4 linked regions of the Diceros bicornis minor genome follow. The protein of the gene in region 1 purifies or fractionates together with the protein of each later gene. This does not show direct contact. Links are inferred from orthologs where the notes say so. Each region holds a gene or a part of one and is shown in the gene's direction. Other genes may lie near its edges. The genes, in order: ZRANB1, MAP4K4, CTTNBP2 and GCC2.

Region 1 (7,024 bases):
GGAAGATATTTTGCAGTTTATACAACTGATATTTTCTGCAGCGTGGCTGAGAATTTGTTCTTGTAACAATTGAACTTTCTAGTATTCTTTTGAGGGGAGCTCACCAATTTTATAAAACTTGCTTCATAAAAGCACAGATCCCCCAACAGACCCTAAGCAAGCTGGACCTATTATCATGTCCTTCAGCAAAGAGCCTTTAACTTTCCTTATTTGGACAGGTCCACCTCTCGGTAGCCTCTGTGGTCTGGCCTCCCTGTTCTAGGCCTGACTCAGGGCTGCTCGACCTCCTGGAGAAAGTGGTTCCTTGTAGTTCTTTCTTCACTCTTCTCAGTTTGCTTCCTCACAATCCTTGTCCCAAAGTCCCTCTGTTCTACTCCAGCTCCCAGCCCAACCCTTAGCAGGTGACCTGCACTTGATTCCCCCAGAGGAGAAAGGATACGAAGTCCACTCCATCACCTCTCTCTCTCATCAGAATCTCTCTGCAGCTCTATTTTTCATGTCTTCCTTTCTTCTTGTTTCTGAGAAAGAAAGCACCCCCTCCCCCCGCTTGCCAAGACAAATCACTGTGCTCTGGATTACCTTCCTCCTGGATTTCAATCATTTTTGTTTTCCCTATCTACCTTCTCTCTGCTCACAAAAGTGCTCAGATATGCTCACTCTTTAAAAAAATATGTATAAGAAAACAGACCCTTTCCCTCATTCTTGTTCCTCCCTGTGTCTATTCTTCCATCTCCCTCCTTCCCTTCATTGCCAAACGTCTTGGACTGGTAGACTATAATCACTGCTTCGATGCCCACACATGCCTTCAGCTTTTGAAATCTGGCTTCTCTCCCTACCACCCTACTGAGAACTGTTCTTTAGAAGGTCACTAAGCCTCTTGTTTGTCAAATCCAGTGACCTTTTCTGTTCTCATTCCTGAGTCTGTAGAATCTGACATTGTTTATTACCACGTTCTTGAGGCTCACTGCCCCTCAGCTTCTAGAACACCTTTTTCATCTGTCTGACGAATCTTTCTCTCCCCCTTTGGTTGTTTTTCTTTTTCTCTCCCACTCCTGTGGCTTCAGTTGCACGTCTACATAGATAACTCCCTGAGGTTTATCTCCAGCTCCAGTCTGTCAAATTTCAGACCAGCATTTCCCCTGCTTGCTGCACATTTCCTCCTGAGTCTAGGGTCTTGACATACCTGACCCGTAGTCAACATCTCCCTTCCTTTAGTTCCTCTCGCGTATTTCCCACTGTTAATCACACCACTATCATTCAGAGTTCTCTGACTTGTGATTCTTTCTTTTGCCCCAGCTTCAGACACTGGCAACCCCTGAACATTCTACTGCCCCCCTGTTTCACCCCCGCCCTACCCTGTCCATTCCACAGCTACTTTGGTTTTGGTCCCTCTTTCTAATTTTACCCCAGTTTGTCCCACAGACATTCCAAGATAAGGTATAGCTCTACTACCGGCACTTTCCTGCTCAAAATCTTTCCATGGCTTATACTAGTAATGAAATTAAGTACAGATCCATGATTTGGCATTCAAGACATTCACGATAAGGCAGACAAAGTAAAATGAAATTACATCTTCTACAAGTAGTTTGGGGAACACCTGAAATAAAAGCCAAAACAAATTAATTGTCAACAAAACTATAGTGTCCCTACATTCTAGTACAAGAGTTCTAAGAAAAAAAGCCTTTTTTTTAAACAATGGATACCTTTTTCCCCCAAATGAAATATTCCTCAGAACTCAGAAATATATGTAAGGAGAATGATAATTTAATCTCTTGTGCCAAACAGCATGAATCAGTCCTTAACTGTGACAGTGCTATCTACAGCATTTGTTGACATCTTTTTTACTCAAATATGGTGCAATGGAAAGAAGATTTAACTGAGAAATCAAAAGCTTTGTGTTCTAATTCCAAACCTAGATGGTCTGGCTTTTGATAAGTCACTTAAAATCTCTAGGCATTAGTTTCCACAGCTGCAAAGTGCAGGGGTGGGACTCTGTCAGTAGCTGGCTGCATACTACAGTCACCTGGGGAGTGCATTTAAAACATAGCCATGCCCAGGCTCTCCTCTTGGGGACAGTTTCAATAGGGTTGGGGTGGGGCCCAGATATGTGTATTTTCAAAAAGCTCCTCAGATAATTCTCACGCATAGCCAGGGCCTGGACTGGTATCAAGCATGTTTTCAGCTTTAACAGAGTCATTTTTGGATTTGCTCTTCCTCTCAATTATAACACAATTTTCATTTGAATTTACTTAGCACATTCCACCTCATATTATAATTACGGTTATTTTTGTCTTGTCCTTTTTCCTAGGCTGTAGTTTCCTCAAACACAATGTGTCTTACTCATCTTTGTGTGATTCTTGTTCCTTGGCACATGGTACTTAATTTATGTTTGCTAAATTGAGTGAAGAGTTAATAAGCCTTACCCAAACAATACCCTCCTCCCTTAACAAAATAAACTCCAACTCCAACTAAATAAAAACACCAAATTCTGCGGTTCTTATTAACTTGTAGGTGAGACGCTTTGCAGCTGAGGTTCAGGAAGGGGAAGCTGGAGGCACTCAGAATCTCTTAAGATATTTTCAAAGCGAAATGTTGATTCAACCATTTGTTCTTACACAATGTGGTGTTTAATTTTACCTAAATTGTGTTAATTATATGTTTGAGGATGTGTGTAAAGTTTTGTAGGCAAATGACTATTGCAGTTTAAACTCAACTTACTGGCAACTTCTTGAGCAAATAATGTTGCTCTGGGAATATGGGGATTATTGAAAATGTCTATATCACAGGAATGGCTATGAGGATAAAATATACCAACGATTATGAAAGAGGTTGTTGGTGAGGAGAAGCTACATAAGGTATTATTCTTGAATGGCTATCGTGAAGCTGTACACACATATTTGCCATATTTATGCAAAGAGAGACTGAGGTTTACAACTTTTAAAGAGTTGCTGTGTTTTATAGTTTTTTAAATTATTGAAATAAAAAATTTCAAGTATGAAAATGCAAGGTGAAGTCCCACTGGGAAAAACAAAGCTCTCCAGCTGGAAAAATCTGACACACTCATGGGGTTTTAGCAAATGGCTAAATGACTCAGTCTATTTGGCTATATTTACAGTAAAAAAAAAGAAAGAAATATATAAAATACACCATATATTCTCTTTAGAACTTGGGCTCTGGGAATTTTGGTTTTTTTTCCCACGGCTGTAATTTATCCTCTGCCTTAAATCTACAATTTACAGAAAAGGCAATCACAAGAAAGCTGGGTTTGCCCAAAATTAGAGCTAGGAAGTAGTAGAAGAGAGCGAAAAGCAGTTTCCATGCCTTTTTCTGTTAAAAAAAAAAAAAAATTTTATTGAGACATAATTGGCATATAACTCCACGGCTTTTCACCATGCATATATGTATGTATACATGTAACATATATAAATATACACATACACATATAAATGGATAGCCGCCTCGAAGGCAGGAGTAAAAAACAGACATTGTAAAAAAACAGATACATGAAAAAGAATCACAAACAACCTAAACGTTTATCTTGCCGGTGTCTTACAAAGACTGTGACACCGTATCAGAAAGAGTGAAGCAGAATCCGCACTAAGCAGCTCACGGGCGTGCCGTGAGACCCGGGGGTTGATTTTGCAGTCTGGTGAATCTGTCGCAGAGAAGAGGCAGAGGGAGACGGACAGCGAGAGAACGCCCCCGCGCCGCCCGGCTGCGTCTGCCCCCCCCGCGCGCGCCGCGCCCCCGCGTCACCTCCCGGCGTCCCCCGCAGGTCGCACAGGGCCCGTAGCGGGCGCCGGCGGGGCCGCACACCGGACTGGGCGCGGGGCGACGCGCCACGGCCTCACAATAGGGCCGGGCGCCGGCGTGACGTCACCTCTCCGCGGCCCGCCTCCTGCGCCCGGAAAGAGGCGGCCGCCCATTGGCTGCGCCGCTGGCGGCCTCGGGGCCAATGACAGGGTGGCGAGCGGCGGGGTCCGGTCTTGACGTTGTGTTGCTCGCCGTGGGGTTTATTTGGCTCCGGGGCCCCTCGCCGCCGCCGCCATTAGGAGCCCGCAGCGCCCGAGGCCGCCTCCCCTCGTATCTCCCCCGGCCCCCCGGCGCCCCCCCGCCTCCGCGGCTGCTCTCCGCCCCTCCGCCCCCGGCAGCCGCGCGCGGGCCCGCGGAGACCATGTCCTGACTGAAGGGAGAGGGCGGAGGCGGCAGCAGCGGGGCGGGCGGCGCGGAGGGAGGCGGAGAGGGGCCGGGCTCGGCTCGTCGCCGCGGGCTGCTCGGGGAGTCGCCGCTGCCGCCGCCGCCGCCGCCGGGCGCCGAGCGTCGGACGGGGAGGAGGAGCAGGAGCTGGAGGAGGAGCCGCCGCCGCCAGGTAACCTGGTCCCGGGAGGGCGCCCTGCCGCAGGCCCCTCGCGGCCCCCGCCGCGGCCTGCCCGGCCTCTCGCTCCCTGGCGGCGCCCAGGCCGCCGGGTCTCCCGGGCCGCCCGCCCGCGCCCCCCGGGGCGGCATCGCAGGCGAGGGGAGGGGAGGAGAGGGGAGGGGGCACGATCTGCCGCCGCCGCGCTTCCATCTTGGGTTTTCCCGGTGCGAGGACAGGCCCGGGGCTGTGGGAGGGTGGGTCCGCCCCGCTTGTTTACCGGCCATCGATCAGCCGCGGATGGACGCGCCGCCTGCCCTGTTACCTCTCTTCCGCCAGATTTTCCTCTCAACTTCTTTTCCTGCCACCTACGGGTGGGTGAGTGGGGTTTCGCTCCCACTCTGCAGTAGGCCGTAAATACTTGGGTCCATCACCACAAGTTGGTGCTGGTCTCCAAACTTGTATTTCAGTCCCTTCGCCGTTTCCTTTCCGCCTCCCGCGGTGGCCTCCCGTTGTTGCCATTTCTGTTTAAGAAAATAAAGGTGGGGGGCACCGGGGGTGGGCTGGGGAGGAGGAGCTGGAACTAGTGGAAAGATTGTCTGCCCCTCTCGCTCGCAATAACGATTGTTCAGTGCAAGTGTCTTATTTTCTTCGCTGTGGCTTCGTGTGGGTCATTTAACAAACAAAAGGACTGTAATGAATACTTGCATTAAGCACAGGGGACGGGCAGTTTAGGTTCAGTCTGGAAGTTTGAACCGGCCTATTATCTTTGAGATACACTGGTGTTTTGAAATTCTCTTGCTGAGAATTTTGAATATCAGTCAATTGATTCCCCCTTTCCGTAACTCCAAAGACTGTCAGGTTAAACGCTGTCCCCTCTACCCGATATTTTGATTGGTTTGCTCCCGGTATGATCTATGGTGTTGTCAACAAATTTAATGTACAGAAATACTGTTTTGGGAACACAGTTGAAGAGAAGTCTTTAGCTCTTGGAAATGTGATATAATGAGTGGTTCTTCTATTCTTTATCACTTGTGCGACCTCAAGGGTACCCTGGTTTTGATCAAACTTGGATGACTCAGTGTACAAATCATAAGCCAGGGAAAACCATAAGGAATTTTATGTTGGCTTGTGCCAAGGGCCTTGGGAAAGTCATCTAAACTATGTTTGTGAAAAATAAAGCTGGATCTCTCCTCTTGGTTATTATTGTTAAGTGAGATGATTCTAAAGAAATTTAGAACTCTCGCCTTGATTTTTGAATCTTGCAACAAGATGTGCAGTCACCTCCTTATACTAAAATTTCATAACATTGTTTTTATTGGGCTGTTAGGGGAACTCGGAGGACAGTGAGTGACGACACATTTTAATCTTTGGTGAGGATATTTGAATATCATGAGGGATTTTTATTTCTGCTGATGTTTCAACACCTTTTATTAGTGCCTCAGAGCATTGAGACCCATTTATTTACTCTTGAAATGTGCGTGGGTCAGTATGATGAACTCATTCATGGTAGTATATTTTAAGCCTATGGCCTAATCCAGCTCTGTATACTGATAAGGGTTATGGCATATCACATTTAAAGCCTGAGGATTAGCATAGTTCTGGAACTCACAATTCAGTTGTACAATATTTGGAGTAAATTGCCTGTTATGTGTAATTGATATAGTGAGAGCTGTTCAATGTGCTTTATACTTATATTGCTTTTATAATAAATGGAAACTTTAAATATATGGGAGTTGCAAAAGTAGACCACTGTCACTTTTTATTTAATTTGGTTCAATGTATTATTTGAGCATTGCTGCTGGAGTCCCTCTTCCCCCAATAATAAGCCCTTTTACCTGGGCTTTGAATACGTTTTCTCCCAGTGATGTGATGTTTCAGTTGGAAAATTGTGCTCTGCTTATGCTTTGGGTAAATAATACCTTGCACATTTTAACACACTCAGCTCCTCACATCACAACCTAAAAACTTCCACAACGCTCTTGATTACATGCAAAGTGAAGTTTAAGCTTCTTGGTGTGGTGTTCAAGTTTCTCTATAATCTGGCCCTGATCCGTTCTTCAGTCTTAACTCTTAGTTCTTCCCTTTGTGAATCCTTAGTTCCAGCCAAACTAACGTGTTTGTTGTTCCTGTGAAGTCCCTCCTCTTGGCCTTTCTGTTGGAAGCCCTTTTCTGATTGTGTTCATGGATACTCTCTTGACTCCGGACCTAGTTGAGCCCTGTCTCTTGAGAAGCCTTTTTGACTACTTCAACCCCAAGGCATCTAGTCACTCCTCTCTTGTGTGGGACTGTTTCTTTTTTTTCCCTTTGCGTTTGCTGGCCTGGATTTCAGTTTATCTTTTATGTTGTTATTCTACTTCCCCCAGTTAGACTTTTAAGACCTCTGAGAAATGGATATGAACCTTGAACACTATTATGTATGCAGACCATGTATTCAGCACTGAAAATATGGATACATGCTCTGACAAAGTATTTTTGGTTATAGATGTGTTCTGGGATGTGCAGTTTGTACTCTTCTAAGTATTGGAGTTTCTGGGACTTTGATGATTTATGAGACAAAATATTTGAAATTATGACTGTCTCTAAAAAAACTTTTTTGGTCAGTATGTTTATAACTATTATCAGCATAGTTCTCTTCTTGTAGAAAATGCTCAACATTTTGATAATGAT
Region 2 (7,018 bases), on another chromosome or scaffold:
TCTGCTGCCCTCCTTGCCCTGTCCCACTCTGAGGTTGAAATCAATTTCTACCAATACTTTTGCAACAAAGAAACAACTAGGCAATAAGTAAAGTGATGTACAGGGGGTTGTCATTGTTGGCCTCTTGCATAATTAAGCTCCCCCCCGAATTTCTGTGACTGAGTGTGAGATGACTGCCAGTCTGGCCCATTGTACCCAGGGAGGATGCACATTTATATCCCATGGCCTGCTGAACTCACAAGCGACTTAACTGCCATCCAAGCTCTTGAAAGCCAAGGCTAGGCTGCTTCTCCCTTGACTTGATCAATAATCTGGGTTCTGTTTTTAACCCCCACATTGCCCACACCTCAGTTTGTTTTCTGCCCCCACCTAAGCTGTCTAGCTTTCTCTCTCAGGGTAGTCCTCTGACCCAGCGTGGCCAGTTTCCTCCCTCTTTTTCCTTCTCATTCTTTGTCCAAGCAAGCTATTTTTTCCTCGAGCCTAAAATCCCAAATGAGTATTTATTTTCCAAATTATTATCTTTTTGGGTGGGTTTATTTTGTATTTTCAAATAGATTCTGGAGGACAATGGCCATGACTTAAGTCTACTTCCTGACATCACATATTGCACATGGCTTACTACAGACTGAACGTTTGAGTGCCCCCATACGTTGGAACCCTAACCCCCGGTGTGGCTGTATTTGGAGATGGGGCCTCTAAGGAAATAATTAAGGTTAAATTCATAAAGTCATCAAGAGTGGGACCCTGATGTGATAGGATAGGTGTCCTTAGAAGAAGAAACCCCAGAGAGCTTGTTCTTTCTCTCTGTGTACTAGCACTGAGGAAAGCCCATGTGAGGACACAGCGAGAAGGCGGCCGTCTGCAAGCCAGCCAGGGAGAGAGCTCTCACCAGAAACCAAATCAGCTGGAATCTTGATCTTGGACTTCTAGCCTTCAGAGAAGTGAGAAAATAAATTTTTGTTATTTAAGCCACCCAATCTACGGTATTTTGTTATGGTAGCCTGAGCTAATTAATACATGGCTGTTGATTGAGAACATGGCTCATGCAGCGTTGCAAGCTAGGCAGGTGTACACTGCTTCTGCATGAAAAGTTAGCTAACTTTGCACAGAATCCAAAACCAAACCTTCCTTTGCCACCACAACTTAGCAACTTCCATCCTTTCCTCTGTTTGTAACAGCATCCTCCCAAGTGTGAACAAGGCTCCGAACCACAAGCAAATCTTTTACCTCCTTGTCTACACTGCCTCTGGCATTCCATCAAACGCCAAATCTTAAGAGACTCTACTGGCCCAAGACCTCTTGGATCTCCTTTCTCCAAGTGTTACGGCTCTGACCTGTGCTCTTGAGATGGACTCTTAACTGTTCTCATCTCCAGTCTTCATCTCGTATACAGAAGAGGAAATAGAGGCTCAGAAGTTAAGCAACATGTGCAAGGTTGCACAACTGATAAATAACAGAACAGGGTTCAAACCCAGTTCAGTTTTGCCCCCAGTCCAGCACACTTTCCACTAGACCTGTTTAGCTTTAACTGTAGCTATTTATGAAACCATCTTACACCCATTATCAGATTGTAAGCTCTTTGAGGGGAGACTGTCTTAATCTTCCTTATATCCTGGGCAATGGCTAAGCCAGTGCCTTGCACTGGGTAGGCACTTCAAGAAAAGGTACTGAATTGAAAGTGTGAAATCACCACCACAATGGCGATATGGGAAATAGCAGTTTAGGAGGGAGATTTAGAGAAAGCTTGTAGGAGAAGGAGGAAATGGTTTCTGAGTTGAGCTTGAGAGGATGGAGAGAATTTGGCTAGGCACAGAAGAAGGGGGTGGTTTGAGGCAGGCCTCAACGTCATGAGTTTAAAGCTGAGACCGTGAACCTGTAGAGAGAGGCTGAATTGGGGGGCCCTGGCATTTCTGCACTGGGTTTAGCTGTGCACACAAAGTGAGTCACTTAACTTCTTTAGACGTTGTTTTCCTAATGCATAAAGTGGGAAAAATAAGAGTACCTATGATTTCGGGTTAATGTGAATAATAATGAGATAATATATGTAAAGAACTCAGCATGTTGTCTGGACCCAATAAGTGTTATCTATTATTAATAATAAACCACTATTAAAATATTATTACTAGTAATATGGTCTGAAAGTTCACATGTGTACCACTCTAGCTCTGAGTAAATTATTTAATTAACACTCATAGATAATGCCATTGCTGTTGATAAATTAAAAAATAAAATCATTTAAAAACACTGCTAAATTCATAGGAACTCTTTGGTTACTATGATTTTCCCAATCAATCGATTCCAGGAGTCCCTAAATATATTTCAGCCTTACAAAGGATTCTCATAGTCAAAAGTCGCAGAAACCAAATTGTTGGGAGGCAGGCGAGTGCTAAACACATTCTGGGTAGAAGACTAACTTGGCTGAATCAGAGACTTGGATTTTGGGGATAGGTAAGAATCCCTGCTCCACCTCCAGGCTATGCTTTTAAGGAATTTAGGCACATTCCTTATCTTTCAGTATTTTGGTTTCCTCCTCCCTAAAATGAGGATAACATCACTCCAGGGCTACAGGAGGGATTAAATTGAATACTGTATGTAAAGCAAGAATCGTAGATAATGATGGCAGTGCTGTTTGTGAAGCCTAATCGTGTAGGAACTGGATTTTCATCCTGTGAGCCTTCTGCTCACAGATGTGACCCCTGTAACAGTCATGTTAACATCATCTGAGAGCTTGCCAGAAATGCAGATTCTCAGACCTATCCCAGACCTGCTGAATCAGAAACTCTGCAGGTGGGACGGGCCATCAGTGCTTTTACAATCCCTCCTGCTGACTCCCGTGCACTCAGGTTTGAGAACTTGCTGTGAGGTAATAGGGAGCCATTGAAAGTTTTTGTACAGTGAGCGATGTGATAAAAATGATTGCTGTGCACAGACGATACGTTCTTGTTTCATAGGATTAATCTGCCTAACTATCGACTAGCTTCCAAAGTTGCTGGACCTGCTGTTTAATCGATCCTTAGTGATTTCTAGACCCAAAACTTGGGTTAGCACTTCTGGCCCCAGAACACTGCTCACCTACTGAGTGAGGTACGGAACTCAGCAGAAGGCAATTAGAGAAGCTGTTTTGGACTCTGTTTCCACTGAAAGTCTCGGGACCGGGCAGCCCCGTGATGCTCAGCAAACCCGGCCACTACAACCGTGTCACAAATTTAGCTCGGGAAAGAAGAGAAAGGAAAAGAGAATCCTGGAGAGAAACCGGAAATGAGGGTCTCGAGGGTATAGAGTCTGGTGGTGGGGGATGGGGATGGGGCGAAGCGGGGGTGAGGAGGGAGGGAGGCCGCTCCTCTGCTTGGAGACTCCCCCTTCATGTCCCTTTAGAGCCGGGGCGCGGCGGCGTGCAGCCTCCCCCGAGGGAAGGGTCCAGAGCCGTCTTCCTTCCCGTATTGTTGGTGCGAGGCAGGGGCGTCTCCGTGCCCTCGCACCTCAGCGGGGCCACCCCGGTGCGCGTCCCCTCCGCGCCGGCGTTTGCGAGAGCGCCGGGCCATTGTTCGGGCCCCACCCCTGCTGCATATTCACGCCCGCGCCCCGCGCCCTCCCCGCCGGGGCTCCGGGCGCGAGTGCGTTTCCGCCCGTTTTTCCTGCCGGAGAAGGAGAGGGGGAGCTGTTTGCTCTCTCCTCAGAATATATTTTTGGTGTCCCGTTTCTCCTCCTCCCTCGCCGCCGCCCCCTCGCTCGCCGCCTCCCTCCCCGCCCCCGCCCCCGCCCCCGCCCCCGCCCCCGCCCCCCGGGTTATCTTTGTCTCGCTGCCTCGCGCTCGCTCGCTCAACTCTCGGCGCCGCCGCGGCCCCACGCTCCGGGCCCGTCCTCCAGGCGCGCGGCGCGGCGCGGGCGCCGGGGCCTGAGGCGGCGGGCGACGCCCGGGGGCCTGCCGGCCGCCCGCGCCATGGTGTGAGCGCCGCCGCCGCGCGCAGCTCCGCCCGCCCGCCCTCCGCGCGGCCCGGGCCGGCCCCGAGCCCAGCCGCCCGCCGCCGCCGCCGCCGCCGCCCCGGCCTCGCGAGGCGGAGACGGGCCGCCCGGCTCCCCGCGAGAGGCGCCGCCGGCGGCCGGCCTGTGACGAGAGACAGAGACAGATTTATCGTGACTGTGTTCTTCTGGTGGCAAAAAGGGAAAATGGCGAACGACTCCCCTGCAAAGAGTCTGGTGGACATCGACCTCTCCTCCCTGCGGGTGAGTGGCCACGACGGGCCGCGCGCGGAGCGGGCAGCGGGGGCCGCGCCCTGGCCGCCGGGCGCTCGGGCGCCGGCGCGGGCAGAGGCGCGGCGCGGCGGCCCCTTTGTCTGCCCGCGTTGGCATGTGGGGGACGCGGGGCGCGACCCTCCGCCGCGCCCCCGCCCGCCGCCCCAGCCCCGGGGACCGGGGACGGGGACGGGGACGGAGCGCCGCCGGCCCCTCGGCGCTGGGGGACCGCAGCGGGCGGAACCCGCCGCCTTTGTACCCGCCCTTTCTCTCCAACTGCCTCGCCGCGTTTATTCATTGTTGTGCTGCGTTTAAATTGTAACGCCTCCCCTCCTTCTTCTCTAGGACCCTGCTGGGATTTTCGAGCTGGTGGAAGTGGTGGGAAATGGCACCTATGGACAAGTCTATAAGGTCGGTGCGGGGCGCCTTCTTTGTTTCCCGGGGCCTGTTGAAACTTCTCGTTGGGGACGAGGACAGGGTGACAAACACGCTGCTGACTGGAGGCCACGCCGCTTGGCCAGAGTTGGGGAGGGGGCTTCGCCTCGCGTTCCCTCTGTTGTTAAACAGAGTTTATGTTCAGACTGGCCTTAAAAGACCCCGTTTCCTGGCTTTGAGATAAGGAAATAAGCTACACTGTTAGGCGTGCACTTTTCTTCACTAAAATGGGAACGCAGTTCATAAGATCGCTTTAAGTTTTTCGTTTTTCCCAAATCTGGCCTTCTGAGTTTGTGTGTTAATTACGATAAGTATAGGCGAGCCTTGGCCTTCTTGGAAATTGTCATCGTGTTTCCTCGTTTGAATGCCTGCCGAGTGCTCAAGGTGCGGAGTTCGGTGTTGCCTGGGACTGCTCTGTATCTCTGGGGTACATTCTACTGATGGATACGTATTTCGGGGAGGCAGGGAGGGGTGTGTGTTTGGGCAACAGGAGCAGGAAGAACTACAGTGTGAGGATTATAAAATCTGAATTCCAGGAATAACCTGTTTGACAGGTGTGTAATTGAAACAGAAATGAAGGAGAGCTAGAAGTCAAGAGGATGCGTGGATTTCACATCCAGCCCAGGTCTTTCTCTTTTTTTACCCGCCCCCCCCCCACGGTAAAGGAAACTAACAAATCTGGAGACCATGAGTCTGCGCTGAGTAGCTGACACCTGATGTGACTAACAGCGCTGTTCATTTTAGCCAGTGCACATTCTAGATCTTATGAAAGAGCTGTAGATAATGGGGGCGCAGGCCTTGAAAATTTGAAACAGTGTTTCAAAATTCTCCTTGTTTTGGTTTGTTTCTTATTTCTAAACGTTTTCTAACAGTTATCTGCGTTGGGGGTGTTTGCTAGCTGTTAGAGTCCTAGAGGGTTGGAATAGAAAAAAATATCTTATGAAGCAGGGCTTTGTGGTTCACCATGAAGAACTGTCATTGTCTCATTAAAAATGGAGGGGAGGGGGGTTGGAAGCTGACTGTAGACGTTTTCTTAGGCCAAATTAAGTGTGGATCCTATTGTCTCTTTTCTCCTTTATGAAGAGGGTTTATCTGTCACTTAAACACCTCTGCCCAACCTCAGCTTCCCCTGGCCTGGGCTGCGTACTGGCCTGTGCTCTGAACTTGAGTCAGTATTCTTAGGTGATCTCAAGTGAATTAGCATGTGTTTTGTTGGTTAACTGTTGGGGTTGGGGCCAGATTTTTGAATTTGAAAGGGAGCCCTGTTAACTCAGCCTCCTGGGCTCAACTGAATTTGGAAGGCTTTAGAAAATTTTGGAAAAGATTGTGTTGCAACTCTCTGAGTGGCCTGTTAACTGGCTTCAAGACACTCTCCTTAGCCCCCCCAGTGTTTGTTTAAGCACCAGTGGGTTTTTTCTAACCCAGTTTTTCTGGCCAAATCTAAGTGGTGAGTGTACTCTTCCAAGTGAGTTAGCCAAAGCTTGTTTTTGCCCCGGTTACACAGTAGTTGGATTGTTTGTCTCTTCTTCAGTCAGCATGGATGTGAAGGGCAGTGAAGTAAACTAGAAGCCAACTGTGTCTGTTTTTAAACTGTGAGAAAAAAGAAAGAAGGAAACCTGAATGTATATTAATTGGTTTAAGAGGTGGGAGCTCTTGATGGTAACAGTTTGGGCAGGTTCGTTGTTAGTATTCCCCTCCTCGTTTCCTCTTGGGTTCCATCCTCTCTTTCCCCCAAGCTTTTGAAATAGATTTGCTGAGCACTACATTTGGGAGTATATGGGAGACTGGCAGTGACACAAGTCTCTGACTACAAAGTCTGTACGGTTGAGGAGAAATTCTCAAATTATGCGAACCTAAGGAATTAAGAAATCTGTGCAAAAGCGGCATACAATCATGAACAAAATAGTGCCTGAGATTTTGCTCACCAGCTGTTCTCTTTTATTATTATGGAAAATTTCAGACATACACAAGGAGGGAGAGTAGATCATCCTGCTTAACAGTTACCAGCACATGACTAATCTGTTTCATCTATAGTCTCCCTCTCCTCCATTATCTTACTGGAAAGCCTAGATACCATTTCACCCATAAATACTTGAGTGTGTATTTTTTTGTTTTTTAGATAGTCACAATGCCATTCTTACACCTAAAAAATTAATTCCTTAGTATCACATATTCAGTGTTAACGTTTTCCTGATTGTTTCATACATGTTTCATTACTGTCATGAAATTCTTTAAGATTTGTGGACTGATACTGGGAAGTTTAGTCTTAGAGATGGTGGAAATAGTAGAGGCAGTTAACATCTCCATTTTCTTCTCTCTTTAAATTATAATTTGTAGAACCATTTACACC
Region 3 (6,904 bases), on another chromosome or scaffold:
CAGCAGTGGGCCAGATTCCTTTGTTAAAATTGTTTTTCCATAATAGTTTTGCACTAAAACATCCTTCTGCACTAAAACTTACTCTTGTAAATGACTTCTGCAGATAAGAGTCCAAACCAAGTAATGGTCTAGGATTTTAAAAACATTCAGTAAAACTGAACCAACACTGCTTCATTGTTCTGTATTAGCCCCAGTTTCTGTTCTTAGAGTGACTAGACTGGGGAATAATATTCTTACTGTACCTTTAACTCTTTAATGAGATCTTCTATTTGGACATCACTTTAGCACTGAATAACCAAATACAGTTCCTAGCTAGAGGTGGTATTAAAAGGGGCTGGGAGTGATTATAATGATATATTTATGTTTAGCTTTGGCTCGCTTCCTACCTAGAAGATTTAATTTCCTAATTATGTTTTGCTTTAGCTTAGGTAAAATTAGCTTGCATTCCCTTGGCACACACCAACTGCAGTTGGTGGAGGAGGCCTTCCAAAACCATAGGTTGTTGACAGGAGTGGCTAACTAGATTAGGATTAAATTTACTGAGTGAAATCCACAAAGAGCCTAAACACATGTAGATAATAACAAGCTGATGATGAAGGAATGTAGTCAGGTCATATGAAAACTCGTTTCTGGCAATGTCCTGGTTTCAAAAACATGTGATAGACACAGGGCACTCCAAGCTCATCTGTGCTCTTTGTTAGACTTCCTGATGTCAGGATTTGGGGCTTCCTAGGTTGGTCACCGTGGTGTAGACAGGGATAAGTGTGGTCTGGAATATTTAAATTGTATAACTATAGCCTTGTGGATACAGTCAGAAATGATTTGCTACTCAGTAATTTTGTCATTTGGCAATACTAAGACATGATAACATATGGTTTGCTCTTTGGAGTTAACATAAATGTTGTCATTTGACTGAAATAAAGAATTCCCTTATTCCAAGAGGGAAACTGTTTTAGGATATGTGTATGTTCTTTCATCTTTTCGTATGGAAGGAAGCATCTCGTCCCATCATTATGTATAACTCGCTGGGTTTTTGGTTTAATGGGTTGGAGGCTGTGGCTGGTGAGGCCAAGGCCATGGTTTAATCAGAAAACCACTTGGCTCCCCAACTACAGTCTGCATTCCTAGCTGCAGCAACCCATTTCACTGGTCTTAAAAGAGAATCTTGAAGAATGCTCTAAGGCTCAGCACAAACACCTCTGTTCCAGGATTCAGAAAATAATTTGTCTCAAATTCTTTTGTCAGTGGGTCATCTACATCATTATATTCAAAGGAGAAAAAAATGTAACTAACAGTTTTCTCTGTTTGCAATAGATTCAATCTCTTTTCATTTTAATGCTGAAAGAAATTCACGGATTAAAAATCATGATTCATTTTTGTTATAGGGATTTCTTTTCTTCCTGCTTATACTTCCATCTCTCTTCTTTTCCCCTGCCTTTCAGAAATTTTCTCTTCAGCCCTGGTATGTCTTTTTTTTCAATTTACTTAGCTGTTTAATGAAGCTTCAAAAGATTTAATTTCTGGAGCCATCAAGTCACTACCCTTTCAGATCTATTTGGTTTGACTCTAATAGAGCTTGTCTTTGTGCAAAGAAAGTCTTTCAGAAAGAGTTAATTTGCAATCTCAACAGAGGCTAATTCTCAGGAGAGATTTTAAACCAGCAAGTGTTCTCCTGGTGGAGAAGCAGCCCGGGGCCAGGCCACTGTGAGGGAGTTAACTCCTAGCGTGCTTCTTCTGTGCATTAGGGTGGGATATTCCATCAACCCTCCGCAGCAGGCAGTGACAGCTTTAAGGTACAGACAAAACCCTGTTTATTTTCCTCCCCAGGTCCGGGACTTAGCAGTTAGAAAATGTGCTGTCTTGTGATTTTTTTTTTTCACAGGAAAAAGAAAAAAAGGAGGTGAGAGGGAAGAAACCACTCAGGGATTCATTCCTTTGTGGGGTGATTCTGCTTTAAATTGTATTTAGACTAATAGAAGCTACTTCTTCCCAATGATGATTTTTTAAAATTGAGCTGCATGTATAAAATAAATGGGATTTGCTTTCCAGGGATATTGTCATGTCATATTCCCAGTTCTTAACCCCTAAGTGAAGTTTATTATTTTATTCTTTTGTCTTTTTTCAGAAGTGAGCCAGTTAATTTCTTGGGTAGTAATTCAGCATCAGTATCAAGCATCAGTATCAAGAAAATTCATTGCCTTGTGATGTGTGAAAATGCATTTTGAAAAGAACAAGGAATGCTTTTGGTTCCAACTTTAAATTTTTACTACCACTTCAGCATCTAAGTTTTACTGTCAAACGCTTTTCTTTCATCTTATAAGGAGTCTAGTTATTCTAATAGTGAGCAATTTCAGAGAGAATATTTGATAAAAGAAAGTGGTATAATGAACAGAGATGGAAACCATAAAGTCTAAGAGAAGGAGTAGCTCTCAGAGTAAAGCCAAAGAAAATAAACAAATGAGCACCTTTGTCTACAGGATAACCTGGAGGTGATTTCTAAACCTGTGACCCTTAACCCCAGGGCTCCAGGTGAAAGTTCTTTCTTGATGTAGACCTCTTCTGGGAGGAAACTTTTTACAATTTATTGATCACTCTTTTTCAGGGTCTTTGCAGAAAAGATGTCCTCTGCCCTGGTTTGTGTCATATTTAGATGCAATTTGGATAGTGAAGCAATTAAAGTGCCAAAACCTTTCATTAGGTGTCTGCCATTTTTTAAAATGAGCTTGATCTGTAACCCTTGGACTGAACATTCCAGTCATTCATCTTCCAGAATTTCAAGTCCAGGATTTGGTTGTGGTTTGATTTTACTTCGTTGAGACACAGCCTGAATGCCTCCATTTGATTTTGCGCTTCCAACACATTTTTGGGATCTGGTGATTTGGGAAGGCCTGTACCATATGGTCTTGATAAGATTTTCACATCCTGGGAATTGGCAGGAAAGGGTAGGAATTGAATCAGATGTGGGAAGGGAAAATTAAGAGTTTGGACCTAACTCACTCATATCATGAAATATATTCTGAGACCTATTATTCCCATAAAATCAATTCTTAGGGAAGGTTTTTTTTTTTTTTTTTTTTTGGTGTGTGTGTCTTCAACACATGGGAGTAATTCCTTTAACTTCTCTTAAAAGTTGAAAGCTTCCTTTTGCAAGCAATGACACAAAATTTCTTGGTTAGTCCTTCAGAAAATAACTCAGACTTGGAGTCAAAGAACAAAAAGGAGCCTTGCTTCACCTTTCTTGAAAAAGAGATGGAATAGAAAGGTATAGACCCAGGGGCCAGGTGCAGGGTAATAAAGGGTACCAGGACGCATTTTGATCTGGGAGTTGTTGGTTTTGGGAGAAGAAGAATAAGACAGAGGCAGACATAGACACTAGGAGGGTACAAACGCCCCGGCGGCAGTCTTGCCAAAAAAAAAAAAGAAAAGAAAAGAAAGGAATTTAAGAAAAAGAAAAGGGTGCCTTACGTGATTCCTAGCGGCGGGATAGAGAGGACTGAAGCGAAGGATTTTTCCTTGCTTTACAGAGAATTCGGATTCTGGAGGCCTGACATTTAATCCGGTGGGTCTGCACCATCCGCTTCGTGGGGGCTGTGCTGGGCGGGCGAATCACCTCTTGGGCTCTTTCTTTCCTTCACCTCACCCAGCGGCTTTCATTCTCCCATCTCCGCGCCGCGCCATAACCTGGCCTGGGCATGTGCCCATTTCCCGTATCTCGACGAGCCGGCTGAGGGCTGGCGCCGGGCGCGGGGCGGCGGGGCGGGGAGCAGGCGGCGGGCGGCGCTCCGGCGCGCAGCGGGTTAAAGCGGCGGGGGCGGCGGCGAGGGGAGGAGGGAGCGCGGCGGCTGCGGCGGCGGCCGGGCTGCGAGCGCCCGCGTCCGCGTCCCTGGACCGCAGCGGGTTAAGCGCCGCCCGCGGCGAGAGGGCTGCACCCGGAGCCGCGGCTCCGAGCTCGCATTCGGATCCGCTAGGGCAGGAAGATGGCGACGGACGGCGCGAGCTGCGAGCCCGACTTCTCCCGCGCCCCCGAGGACGCGGCGGGGGCCACGGCGGAGGCGGCGGTAACCGTGGTCCCGGGGTGGGCGCGGGGTCTCGGGGTGGGCGCCCCCGGGCGCTGCGCAAGCCCGCGCTCCTCGGGGTGCCCTCTCCTAGGGGTGCCCCCTCCTCGGGGAGCTCTCAGGGCCGGAGGCCGGGTCGAGTGGGGCGAGGCGGCCGCCCGGGCTAGGGATCCCCCTTGTCCTTTCCGAGCCCCGCGGGAAGCAGCCCCGGTCCGCCCGGTTCTCGGGGCTCCTGCGTGCGTCTCCTGCGACCCCTACGCCCACTCCCTCCGCTGAGGTCGGGTTTGGCCCCCGGGCGAGGACTCGGGTGTATTTCCTGGCGAACTTGACCCCCCATTGTTCGCCTCTCGCTGCGCGCGTGGTTGTGGGCGCGTGTCTGGGGGGTGCCTGGCACTTCTCGGCGGACCGGGGAGAGCAGCGAGGGGGAGGCGGGTCATCGTCGAGCAGGTGTGGGGATGCCCATTGTGTGTGTGTTCGTGTGCCGGGGGCCCCTTGGGAGAGGCCCGGTGTCCAGCTGTGGGCGCTGCTACCGCTGAGCTCCGGCGCTTTGGGTCCTAGCTGCCTGCTGCCCCATCGCTTGGTGGTAGTGGCTTTTGGGGGTGGAGGGGCGGGGGGGAGTGTTCTTGTTCTTCCCGAAACGATGCCTGGGCGAGGTGGAGGTTCAGCACCTGGTATCAACACATTGTTCTTTTTTGCTGGGGGTCTGGAAGCCGAATGAGCTTCCATCCATCGCTAGTTCCCATTTTCACCCCCAGAATATTCCCGTGCACAGAGGCTCAATGGTGGTTTCTAGCTTCTACCCTGGGGGAGGGCTGGATCCACATTTCCTGGGTGGAAACGTTCTCGGGGTTTGGGAAGCAGCTTCGCAGGAGCTGCAAGGATCTGCAAAGAAAGGCAGCTCTGGGAGCGCCTCCCACCCTTGGCGCGATCCCGCTGCTCCCGCCAGAGATTCCGGGTGGGATGGAGTGAGCGGAGCAGGGATGGCCCTCAGTTCTTCCCATGACCTGAGCAGAGTTGCTGCACGAGTGGCAGAGGGCAGGGCCAGGTGTAAATAGCCAGGGCTGCATTGACTTCCTCTCTGTATAGAGGTAGGGCTTTCTGGAGAGGGAGAGGAGAGATGTGGAGGAAGTACTTGGGCTTGAGAGGAGCTGAGCCAGGGAAGGAAAGGAAAAAAAGAGGGAGGGAAGGAAAAACGGAGGTGGAGGGCTGCTGATTTCCGCTTGTGAAACTGGCAAGTTTTGATCTGAAACTTTTAGGAAAATTGATTTTTCATTCTTTACATGGAAAATATGAACTTTCTTAAGATTTCAAATGAAACCTGCCTACTTTTGATGCCGTGAATCCGTTTCTCTCTGTGAGGTACAATAAGGAAGCCAGCTATTAAGACAACAAGCCTCTCAGAGAAGTTGAAATGGTTGGGTACCTTCATCCCTAAGAGATGGTAAGGGGAGGGGAGTGAGAAGAAAAAGAAAGAGGGGAGTGTGTGTGTTTCTCCTTTCCCAGGAAGGTTGAATTTGTTTGTTTAATGGACTTAAAATGGGCTTCGTCTATTACCCTCAATATTTTAATCACCTGACAATTAAACCAAACACAAACATCTGATTTATGGTCTGTAACCGATCTATAGTTTTATTTGGATAGATTGTAAACAGAACCTTGGATGCTAGGTGGATTTTTGTGTTAAGGAGGTCAGTGCTCCCTTTCTGATGCTTAAAATTTTCAGGAGTCAGATTTTCACTGCTGATGGGTAGGGATTTGATCATTTCACCCTGGTTAATGGGAATAGCTATGGAAAATCTGTGAAAGTCCTTTGATATTTCCATAAAATTCTGAGGAGATGCAATAAGGACTCTTAATCTGATAGTTTTCTGAAATAATTTTTGACTTTTTAGTAAAATTTTGATGATGGCTTCTTAGGCAGTAAACTGAGTATTTTACTTTTCACTTAAAGTACTCCCATATCAGCCTCTTGACCTGTAGACTGATTTTTAAGTTAAAGAAATCTAGGTTGAGGAATGATATTTGTTGTTATAACTGCTCCTTATCTAATGATTAAAAATCAAAGACGTTTTTAGGCATTTTGGGTTCATGGCAACTGAGGACTTAAAATTTTTTTCGTTTTTAGTGAATAATTCTTTTTTGCATTTTAGAGATTTCATTTCAAGTTGGTTTACATATTATGCATTTCCTATGTACATTTGGCAGTTATGAGCCAATGGAGATTCCAAAGCAGTAGGCTATTTTTGAAAGTGAGTGTTTTCACTAAGTTTTGACTATTTAGATTGTTGCTTAGAGACAAGTTTAATTTATAGTTTTCAGCTTAATATGATTTTCAGTGGAGTGTTTTAAATTTAGTTTGTGATCCTTGTTCTTAGCTGTTTAAATCCTGAAAGCATCCCAAGTGTAGAGCCGGGTAACGGCTACATTATTCAATAGGATCATATTAATAGTTTTTGCTGTGATCCACGCCGGGAGACCTGCTATTTTCAGTGCCTTAGCAAAATGTGACTTTTATAGGCTATATTGCTATTTCTACTCTGAAAAATAACTTCTGATGGACAAGGCACTATGGAAAACAAATCTTCCTGCTTTTTATTGTCACCAAAGAATTGAAGAGTGAAAGGAAAGTGGAGCTCTTTTTAGAGCTATGTTTGGGAAGCTGACCAGCATTCTTGTCATTCTGGACTTTTCTGGAGCAGCTAATACGCAAAAAGTAGATATAAATTTTGTTGTCACAGTGATAGTGGCAAGAAGAAAAATTTGGGCAATTTTGTTAAAAATGCACAACAGTAACATTAAACAAATTAACTGGCACCTTGAAATTTTTTTTTTCCAGGTGACAGAATTGA
Region 4 (7,922 bases), on another chromosome or scaffold:
GTCCAAGGCCTTCACCACAGAGGTGATGTGCTCAACTTTAACTTGGTTGGCAAGTTAGAAGCCTCAGTTTCAATGACCCTGAACAGGGAGCTAGGGGAGGCTGGTGAACCCCGATAAAAGTCAAGGACCTAATAACAAGTAAAGTTTCTTGGAACTATGAATCAAATGAGCAAATTCACAGTGCTCCGTCCCTCTGGAAGCCAAGGAAAAACTGCTCTTTGCCTCCCTCCCCCACAAAACAGAGGCCCAGAGCCTCACTGGGCTCTTTGGGTACTGGGGACAGTACATGCTTCATCTGAGCATTCTACTTGGTCCTTTACATTGGCTAACCCATGAATTGGTATCATTTGAGTATAGTGCAAAACAGTCTATACACTGGCAGCTGTCCAGCAAGCTGTGGCACGCTTGCTGCTTTGGGGGCTCTACATTCCTAATAACCACTTTGAGCCAGAAGTCTCTGTGACCAATGACTTTGTTGACAAGATCCTCTCGGGAAGGGAGGCAGCCTCCACCTGGAACTACTTCTGGGGGTCTGGACTTAGTGCCTCCCTAGCATCATTACCAAGTGCACCCCTTTTGAGAAGCAAATATTAGCTTGCTGTAGAACTCTTGTCAAAACTAAATGACTGACCCACGCAGGCCTTATGAATCTCCAGCCTGATATTCCCATTTTTGGGTGGCTCAACTTAGACTCTACGACTGATGATATCAAAAGGGCTCACAAAACCTTGCATGTCAAATGAAAAAGGTCTCAGCTTTACATGAAAGTGACAGCTATCTCTCTGGGGAAAATTTTACCCCCACTCAACCATGTCAGCCATTTCACTGGCTCAATGGGGCGCTCAGTTCACAGATTCCCCTAAATCTTGAGCCTGGCTAAGGCTAAGCTAAAACTCAATAGTTCCCACTGGACTGCAGCAGGTGTTCAACCTCAGTGCCAGCTTTGCACACCAAAAAGGGACCTGGAACTTCCACCCAGAGGACAGGACTCAAAGCCCTTCTCAGAGCTCTGGCCAGCACTTGCCTTGATGAACCTTGCTATGTGTTTACTGACTCTTGGGCTTTTGCCAGTGGCCTAGCTATCTGGTCTGCCACTTCGAAAACTACAGACTGGCAGATCAAAGACATCCCTGTTTGGGGCTGTGAGCTATGGAAACAAATTATAACTGCTGACCCAAACTTTCTGGGGCCCTCATGTAGATGCCCACAGAAAGGACTCATCCTCTGATGAGACTGACTGGAATCAAGCTGCTATCTGAGCCTCCACTGCCCTGGTTGTTACTATTCTGCTGCCTGGATCCATCATCACACCAGACATGACAACACATCCACCATCACAGAGAATGTACTAAGTGAAGGGCTCTGTTTCTGCAGAGGCTGCCACTGTATTCCAGACTTGTGACTCCTACCCAAAGCTGGTCTAGTTCTTTCCTGACAGACCGACCTTTGAGCCTCTTCCAGGCTATTTATTGGTGGCGCCTCATCACAGGCGACATTTTTTCAGGTTATGATGCTGTTGTTTCAGTCCAATCAGCCAACCATGGTAACACTATTGTGGCCTCTGAAACTAATATGGGTCATGAGTTTGCTTTCCTGGACAATTTCCATAGTACACCTTTTATCAAGAAAGCTACTCAACAATGGGCTGACAAGGTACTTAATGGGACTTCCACACTCCCTGCCATCTGCAGGCATTTGGTATTGCAAAACACTGAAATAGCCTCCATAAAAATCAACTCAAAAAGGTTTTTGAGGAGCCAGCCCTGTGGCGTAGTGGTTAAGTCCGGCATACTCTGCTTCGGCCGCCCAGGTTCACAGGATCGGATCCTGGGCTCGGACCTACACCAATTGTCAGCCATGCTGTGGCAGCAACCCACATACAAAATAGAGGAAGACTGGCACAGATGTTAGCTCAGAGTGAATCTTCCTCACCAAAAAAAAAAAAAAGGCTTTGACTGCCTCCCTCATATCCTGGCCTGCACACCATAATAAGGCAGCTGGTCACTAAATGCTGTCTCCAGAAAGATCATCTCCCTTCTACTGCTTCCTGGGTAATGATCAGGATGAACAGCTTGACAGTTTCTTAAAAAGTTAAATATATTCTTACCCTAGAACCCAGCAAATCCCACTCCTAGGTATGTACCCTAGAGAAACAGAAACTTGTTCACACAAAAACCTGTATATGTTTATAGCGGCTTTATTCACAATCACTCAACACTGAAACAAATCCTACAATTGGATAAACAAATTATGGTATGCTCATATAATGAATATTATTTAGCAATAAATGGGAACAAATTATTGATAAATGCAACAACTTGGATGAATCTCAAAGGCATTTTGCTAAGAGAAAGAAACCAGTCTCAAAGGTTACATACTGTATGTTTCCATTTATATGACATTCATGAAATGACAAAACTATGGTGACAAAGAATAGATCACGGTTGCCAGTAATTAGGGATGGGAGGAGTGTGTGGCTACCATGGAGTAATATGGAGGAGTTTTGGGGGATAATAAAACTGTTCTGTAGCCTGATTATGCCAATGATTACACAAGTCTGTACATGTATTAACATCCAAAGAACTCTATGCCAAAAGAAAAGTCCATTTTAATGAATGTTAATTGAAAAAATAAAACAAAAGGTGGCGAGTATAGTCTTCAAAAATGTCAATTTTTTATTCTTTTTTTAAATAGAAATATAATTGACACATATTAATTTCAAGTGTACAATTTAATGATTCAATATTTGTATATATTGGGAAATGATCACCATAATAAGTCTAGTTAACATTCATCACCATAGTTACAAAAATTTTTTTTTGCTATGAGAACTTTTAAGATCTACTCTCCTAGCAATTTTCAAATATGCAATACAGCATTATTAACTATAGTCTCCATGCTGTTCATTACATCCCCATGACCTATTTATTTTAAAACTGGAAGTTTGGACCTTTTGACTACCTTCACCCATTTTCCCCCCATTCCAACCCCCGCCTTTGGCAACCACCAATCTGTTCTCTGCACTTATGAGCTCAGTTGTTTGTTTTCGGGGTTGTTGTTTTTTTTTTGACATAATGTCAAAAAATAAAAATGTCAACTTTATAAAAGTCCAAGAAAGGCTGTGGAAATGTTCCAGATTAAAGGAGCCTAAAGAGACATCACAATTAAATGCAATACCTGATCCTAGACTGGATCTCCTACTGGAAGGGAAAAAATGCTATGAAGTCCTGTATGTTAACAGATAGAACAAATATTCCTGTAGTTTCAGTTCTAAGCTTGCTCAAAACCTGGAAAATACTGACTAATGATCTTAAGTTCTGTTCCACTGACGATTCTCTATGTCAATTAACAGATTCATTCATAACAAGTATTCATTGAGTGCCTGCTACATACAAGGCAATGGACTCAATGGAGACAGGACAACAGAAAGTCCTCTTTTTCTCCAAAGGCTGCTCAAAGTCTTGAGTTTTTCCAATACTATCTGCCAAACCATATAGTCTCCCTTCTTTAACAGTATTTGCTGCCACTGAAACATTAAAACTTTTGGTGGGTTTTAGGACTTAGTTGCTGGTTTTCTAAAACGTTGTCTGAAATTATTTTTGTATTCTGTAAAAAGTCACTCATTTAGAACACTGCACAATGTCCAGGTTTATGGGCATTTTCTCAAGCCAGCTCATTATGGAAAGAATTTTTTTCTCAAGTTGGCAAACTTTTCCTCCCAAGATATGTGTAACACCTGCGAAGTGGCTCACCTAAGGGAACTAACTTACTGACTCACTCATCACAGACTGTAGGACTCCAGCCTCATTGCTGCGACTGTCTTGGCTCCGCCTTCTCCCTGATATCAACTCTGTCCTGGGGCGGCCTTCCATCCAGTGGCAAATGTCTGCCAACAGCAATCAGGGTCGTATGTTTCTTCAGTCACGTTAAGAGAAAGGAAAACATGATCCCTAAACCAAACTCTTAAACCGCAGCGCCACACCTCACTGGTTGTACACTGAGGTCACGCACCCCCGTCAGAGGGACGTTCTCTCCCCACCGGCCGTCTAACTCCCTCTCTACCTACGAGTAACTAGCTGCCGTCCCCGAGATCCATACTACCTGCTGCCTCCTCACATCCTTTAGGCCATTCAGCCTACAGGGAGCTAAGTCACACGTTCAAGCGGCCTCGGTTAGCGGGCGCTGGCTGCGCGCACCGCGGCAAGGCGAGGGTGCGGGCCGCGGTCCAGCAAACAGGCCGGCTTCTGCAGGGCCAGCCGGGACTCCGCCGCGGCGCCCTCGGAGGGGGCGGCCTGCGCTCTCACCTCGCGCCTCGGCCCCAGCCCCCGGGCGGGCGCGTCCCCCCAGGCCTGCTCGCCCCGGGAGCCGGGAAGCCGGCCCCGCCCTGACGCCGCGCGTTCGGAGCCGGCTCGCGGGCCGTGGGGACAGCCTCCGCCTGAGACGCGCCGCGAAGGCAGCGGTGTGTCTGGCAGGCGCTCGGAGGCTTCGCCTACAGGGCAGCGTCACCGGCAGACACCTTCGGGGGGCACTCCCGTCACCGTGACACCACTTCACAGATGTGGAAAACGAGGCCCTGCGCGGCGACCTGCCCAAGCTCTCACAGCTAGAAAACCGCAGCGGCAGCGCCCACATGTGCCACGCCGTGCGATACCAGCTCAACGGCTCGCCCCGGACAACGCGCGGACGCTGCCCCCTCCCACGGGCGGGCCGCCACACGGCCGCGGCGGGCGCGCGCCGGGCCCCGCCTCCCGGATGCGGAAGCGGCAGCGCCGCCGTGCCGTAGCCATGGAGACGCGGGGGGTGGGGCCGGCCCCAGAAGCGCGACCTGTGACCTGCGCTGCAGGCTACGTCAGAGGCGGCCGCAGACGGAAGTGCCGCGCCGGCTGGGCTGCGGGGCCGCGGGCCGGCGGGCGGGCGGCCATGGAGGTAACGGGGCCGGGCCGGGGCTGCGGGCCGCCACCTCCCACCGAGCCTGCGCGCCGCGGTGTGGGACGCGGGGACGGGCCCCGGGAGAGGGCTCGGCAGCCTCCCCCCCGCGCCCGCAGCCCCGCGCTGCCTTGTCTCCCCCCGCCCCCAGATTCCGCCCCTCGCGATTGCCTGCCCCGTACAGCCAATTCTGTACGATCGGCCGCAGCCACAGACGCCTCCCTCCCGATTCTGTTTCTCACGTGAAGGGTTTCCTCCTCCTGATTCCACGGAAAGGTTTTTACCTGTAAAAGTTCCGCGAGTTCCGTCTGGGGTCAGGAACAGAGTTCTTCTGACCACCTGGGTTTGATTTTGTTTTGCAGGATCCTGTTCAAGATGGGGTGGCTTCACCAGCCACCCCTGGGACCGGGAAATCCAAGGTGAAGCGAATACTTGACTGGCAGGCTCCCTGAAGAGTGGAAGGGTGATGAATTGGAAAACTTTGGCCTGGAGAGAGGGGTGGCCTGTTTAAAATAAATAGGAGCTTTTCTCCAAGGGATCTCAATTTTAATTTACACAGTCACCCGTCTATTTCTTTCTTCTTTTTTGCTTTTAAGATTCCTAGTATGAAAAGAGTTGACTCTCTGTTTACTTCCTGCCCCTTGGTAGCCCTGCTGAGAGATTGTGCAATTTTTCAGACATTAAACAAAGCAGTCTAATTTCTGAGGATGTAAAGGGTGTAGTGGAAAGTGCGGTGACATAGGTAGGAGTCAAGGAACTCTATCCTGTAGGCCCCTCCTATGGAAAAGAAAGTTGAATTGGGTAATTTTTATGGCCCTGTACAACTTTTCACATTCACTGAATCTAAAAGATAGTGGTTTATTGCTAAGATTTATTGCTTGCATACTAAGTTTCAGGCACTTATGTAAACAGTTACTTCATATAAGCTTCATGGTAACCATGTGATAAGTACTATTGTTATCCCCATTTTACAGAAGAGAAAACTGAGCCCACAGGGGTTAATTTTCCCTGATTTTTCAGTTAAAGCCTAAATTCAACCTGATTCATCTTGTAATTATGCTTACATGTTTTCATGTGGCCAAAGACTTTTTTCAGCTTTGAATAGAGTGAACTAATTTTACAGCTCTAAGGAACTTTAAGTAGAATTAGTCCCAGTCCCCTAATTTTACAATTAAAGAAATCAAAACCTAGGAATTGTCTTAACTTATAACAACAATATATCTATATAAGTGGATATGTGCTATTTTTGACATTTCACAGTTGCTTAACTAATAATTACTGAGTTGAAGTTCATTTGCTAATTTTAAAAAATGTGTTTGACAAAGATTTATTCAGTGAGATGTTTTTATTTTTAGGCAGACATGTTTCTTTTTTATGGTATGGTAGAAACATGATTTATAACAAGTTGGTAACATCACTACATCTTTCAGCTGGAAACATTGCCCAAGGAAGATCTTATCAAGTTTGCCAAGAAGCAGATGATGCTAATACAGAAATCTAAATCAAAATGTACAGGTATTGGGTTGAAAATATTCATTTGACCATAATCTCATTTAATCTCGTGGTTAAAAATACTAGTTTTTTAATTGTACATTGGCTTGTTTTGTTTACCAGTGAATCCAACAAAATCTTAGACAATGTAGTAGAATCTGTTTTTATTTAACATTCTAATCATTTGCCTCTGATATTTTTTATTATCTCACATCTCTAAACTGCAGTTACCTTTGAATTATTAAAAGAAAGTCAGGGAGGAGGATTTTTAAAAATAGTTTTTTAAAGTTAACACATTCTTTTTTTACTCATGTAGCTTGTACGTTCTTCTGAGTAAAGCGTTTTTTTCTAGAGTAGTTGGTTGAAACATTAGAGACAACAAGTTGTGAGTTCAAAGTAAAAAGAGGCCTCAAGTAAGATAGTAAAAGATTTCCATTCCTAGAATTTTGAAGTATATTTATTTAGTGAAGTTGACTGATTCCCTGTTCAGTTTCCTTTTCTTTATATTCCAAAAGGATAACGATATTAGTATCCTTTTTTACTATGTGGGTAAGCTCTTGAATTTCCAATGACTTAACAGATGTTAACTGCCCAGCCTAAGAGCCAAGACTTAAATTCTTCTAGAAAAGGTCATATTGTGTTTTGGGAGGATAGATCAACTTGTGATAAAGAGAGTAATTTATTTGGAAAAGTTAGAACACCTTTCAGACTTCAGACCTAGCCACGAGTTGATGAAATAGGTTAACATTTATGTTTAATATGAGGTTAATTGTTGCTTTAAAATTATACAGTAAGAAGTTATTTACAGCTGAAATAATCTCTGAGATTTGCTTCAAAAATATCAAGATGGGTAAGAAAAGAGGAGAAGGAGGAAATGAATACAGATCGGGATGAAAATCAAGGTGATGGGTGCATAGAAATTAATTTACTGTTTTCTCTATTTTTTTATTTGTTTGGAGTTTTCCATAATAAAAAGGAAAATAAAAGGTAATACTGAGTGAAGTTAATGCTTTCCCCAAATATCTGCTTCTTAAATGTATTCTACTTTATAGTAGTTTTTTATGTTTTGTTTTTTTAAGAATGTACTTGTCACCTTAGCCAGTAATTATTTTCTTCGTTTCTGAACTGGAATATTTTTTTTTTTAATAATTGTTTAGAACTGGAGAAAGAAATTGAAGAATTGAAATCAAAAACTGTTGCTAGAGGAACTGATGATATTATTAAGGTAATGAAACAGTTGTGAATATTGCTTTAGTTTTTCTTTATTTACTTAGAGGAAATGTCTGATGATAAATCAAATTTCCTTGAGGGCTTTCAGCCTGCTGGAGAGCTAGCTGGCTTTCTGTCCTGTTTTACCACTTCCTCTCTGCCCTTGGTTCAGTTTTTTACCTCTCTGGTCGACTGTGAAAAGAGAGGATTAAATGACCTCTAGATCCCTTTCTGTTCTGCAGTGAGTATTATGCTCTCTCCTTTTCATTTCACACTCTGTAAGTACGGTTGTTCCC

Evidence for each region.
Region 2: the proteins of ZRANB1 (region 1) and MAP4K4 purify together in Homo sapiens (affinity purification with mass spectrometry; 3 studies listed by BioGRID and IntAct, with this or other methods). This does not show direct contact. The link is inferred for Diceros bicornis minor from reciprocal best matches to the Homo sapiens genes ZRANB1 and MAP4K4.
Region 3: the proteins of ZRANB1 (region 1) and CTTNBP2 purify together in Homo sapiens (affinity purification with mass spectrometry; 3 studies listed by BioGRID and IntAct, with this or other methods). This does not show direct contact. The link is inferred for Diceros bicornis minor from reciprocal best matches to the Homo sapiens genes ZRANB1 and CTTNBP2.
Region 4: the proteins of ZRANB1 (region 1) and GCC2 purify together in Homo sapiens (affinity purification with mass spectrometry; 3 studies listed by BioGRID and IntAct, with this or other methods). This does not show direct contact. The link is inferred for Diceros bicornis minor from reciprocal best matches to the Homo sapiens genes ZRANB1 and GCC2.

The regions. Positions count from the first base shown.
Region 1 is NC_080745.1:87,596,492-87,603,515, forward strand, and holds the start of ZRANB1 (ubiquitin thioesterase ZRANB1), read left to right. Parts: upstream 1-4,020; 5' UTR 4,021-4,369; intron 4,370-7,024. UniProt on the Homo sapiens protein: Ubiquitin thioesterase, which specifically hydrolyzes 'Lys-29'-linked and 'Lys-33'-linked diubiquitin. Also cleaves 'Lys-63'-linked chains, but with 40-fold less efficiency compared to 'Lys-29'-linked ones.
Region 2 is NC_080779.1:11,851,652-11,858,669, reverse strand, and holds the start of MAP4K4 (mitogen-activated protein kinase kinase kinase kinase 4), read left to right. Parts: upstream 1-4,018; 5' UTR 4,019-4,167; coding exon 4,168-4,224; intron 4,225-4,578; coding exon 4,579-4,644; intron 4,645-7,018.
Region 3 is NC_080742.1:68,710,230-68,717,133, reverse strand, and holds the start of CTTNBP2 (cortactin-binding protein 2), read left to right. Parts: upstream 1-3,889; 5' UTR 3,890-3,977; coding exon 3,978-4,058; intron 4,059-6,904. UniProt on the Homo sapiens protein: Regulates the dendritic spine distribution of CTTN/cortactin in hippocampal neurons, and thus controls dendritic spinogenesis and dendritic spine maintenance.
Region 4 is NC_080779.1:5,477,265-5,485,186, reverse strand, and holds the start of GCC2 (GRIP and coiled-coil domain-containing protein 2), read left to right. Parts: upstream 1-4,903; 5' UTR 4,904-4,920; coding exon 4,921-4,926; intron 4,927-5,288; coding exon 5,289-5,345; intron 5,346-6,356; coding exon 6,357-6,441; intron 6,442-6,449; exon of another isoform or gene 6,450-7,291; coding exon of another isoform or gene 7,292-7,319; intron 7,320-7,574; coding exon 7,575-7,642; intron 7,643-7,922. UniProt on the Homo sapiens protein: Golgin which probably tethers transport vesicles to the trans-Golgi network (TGN) and regulates vesicular transport between the endosomes and the Golgi.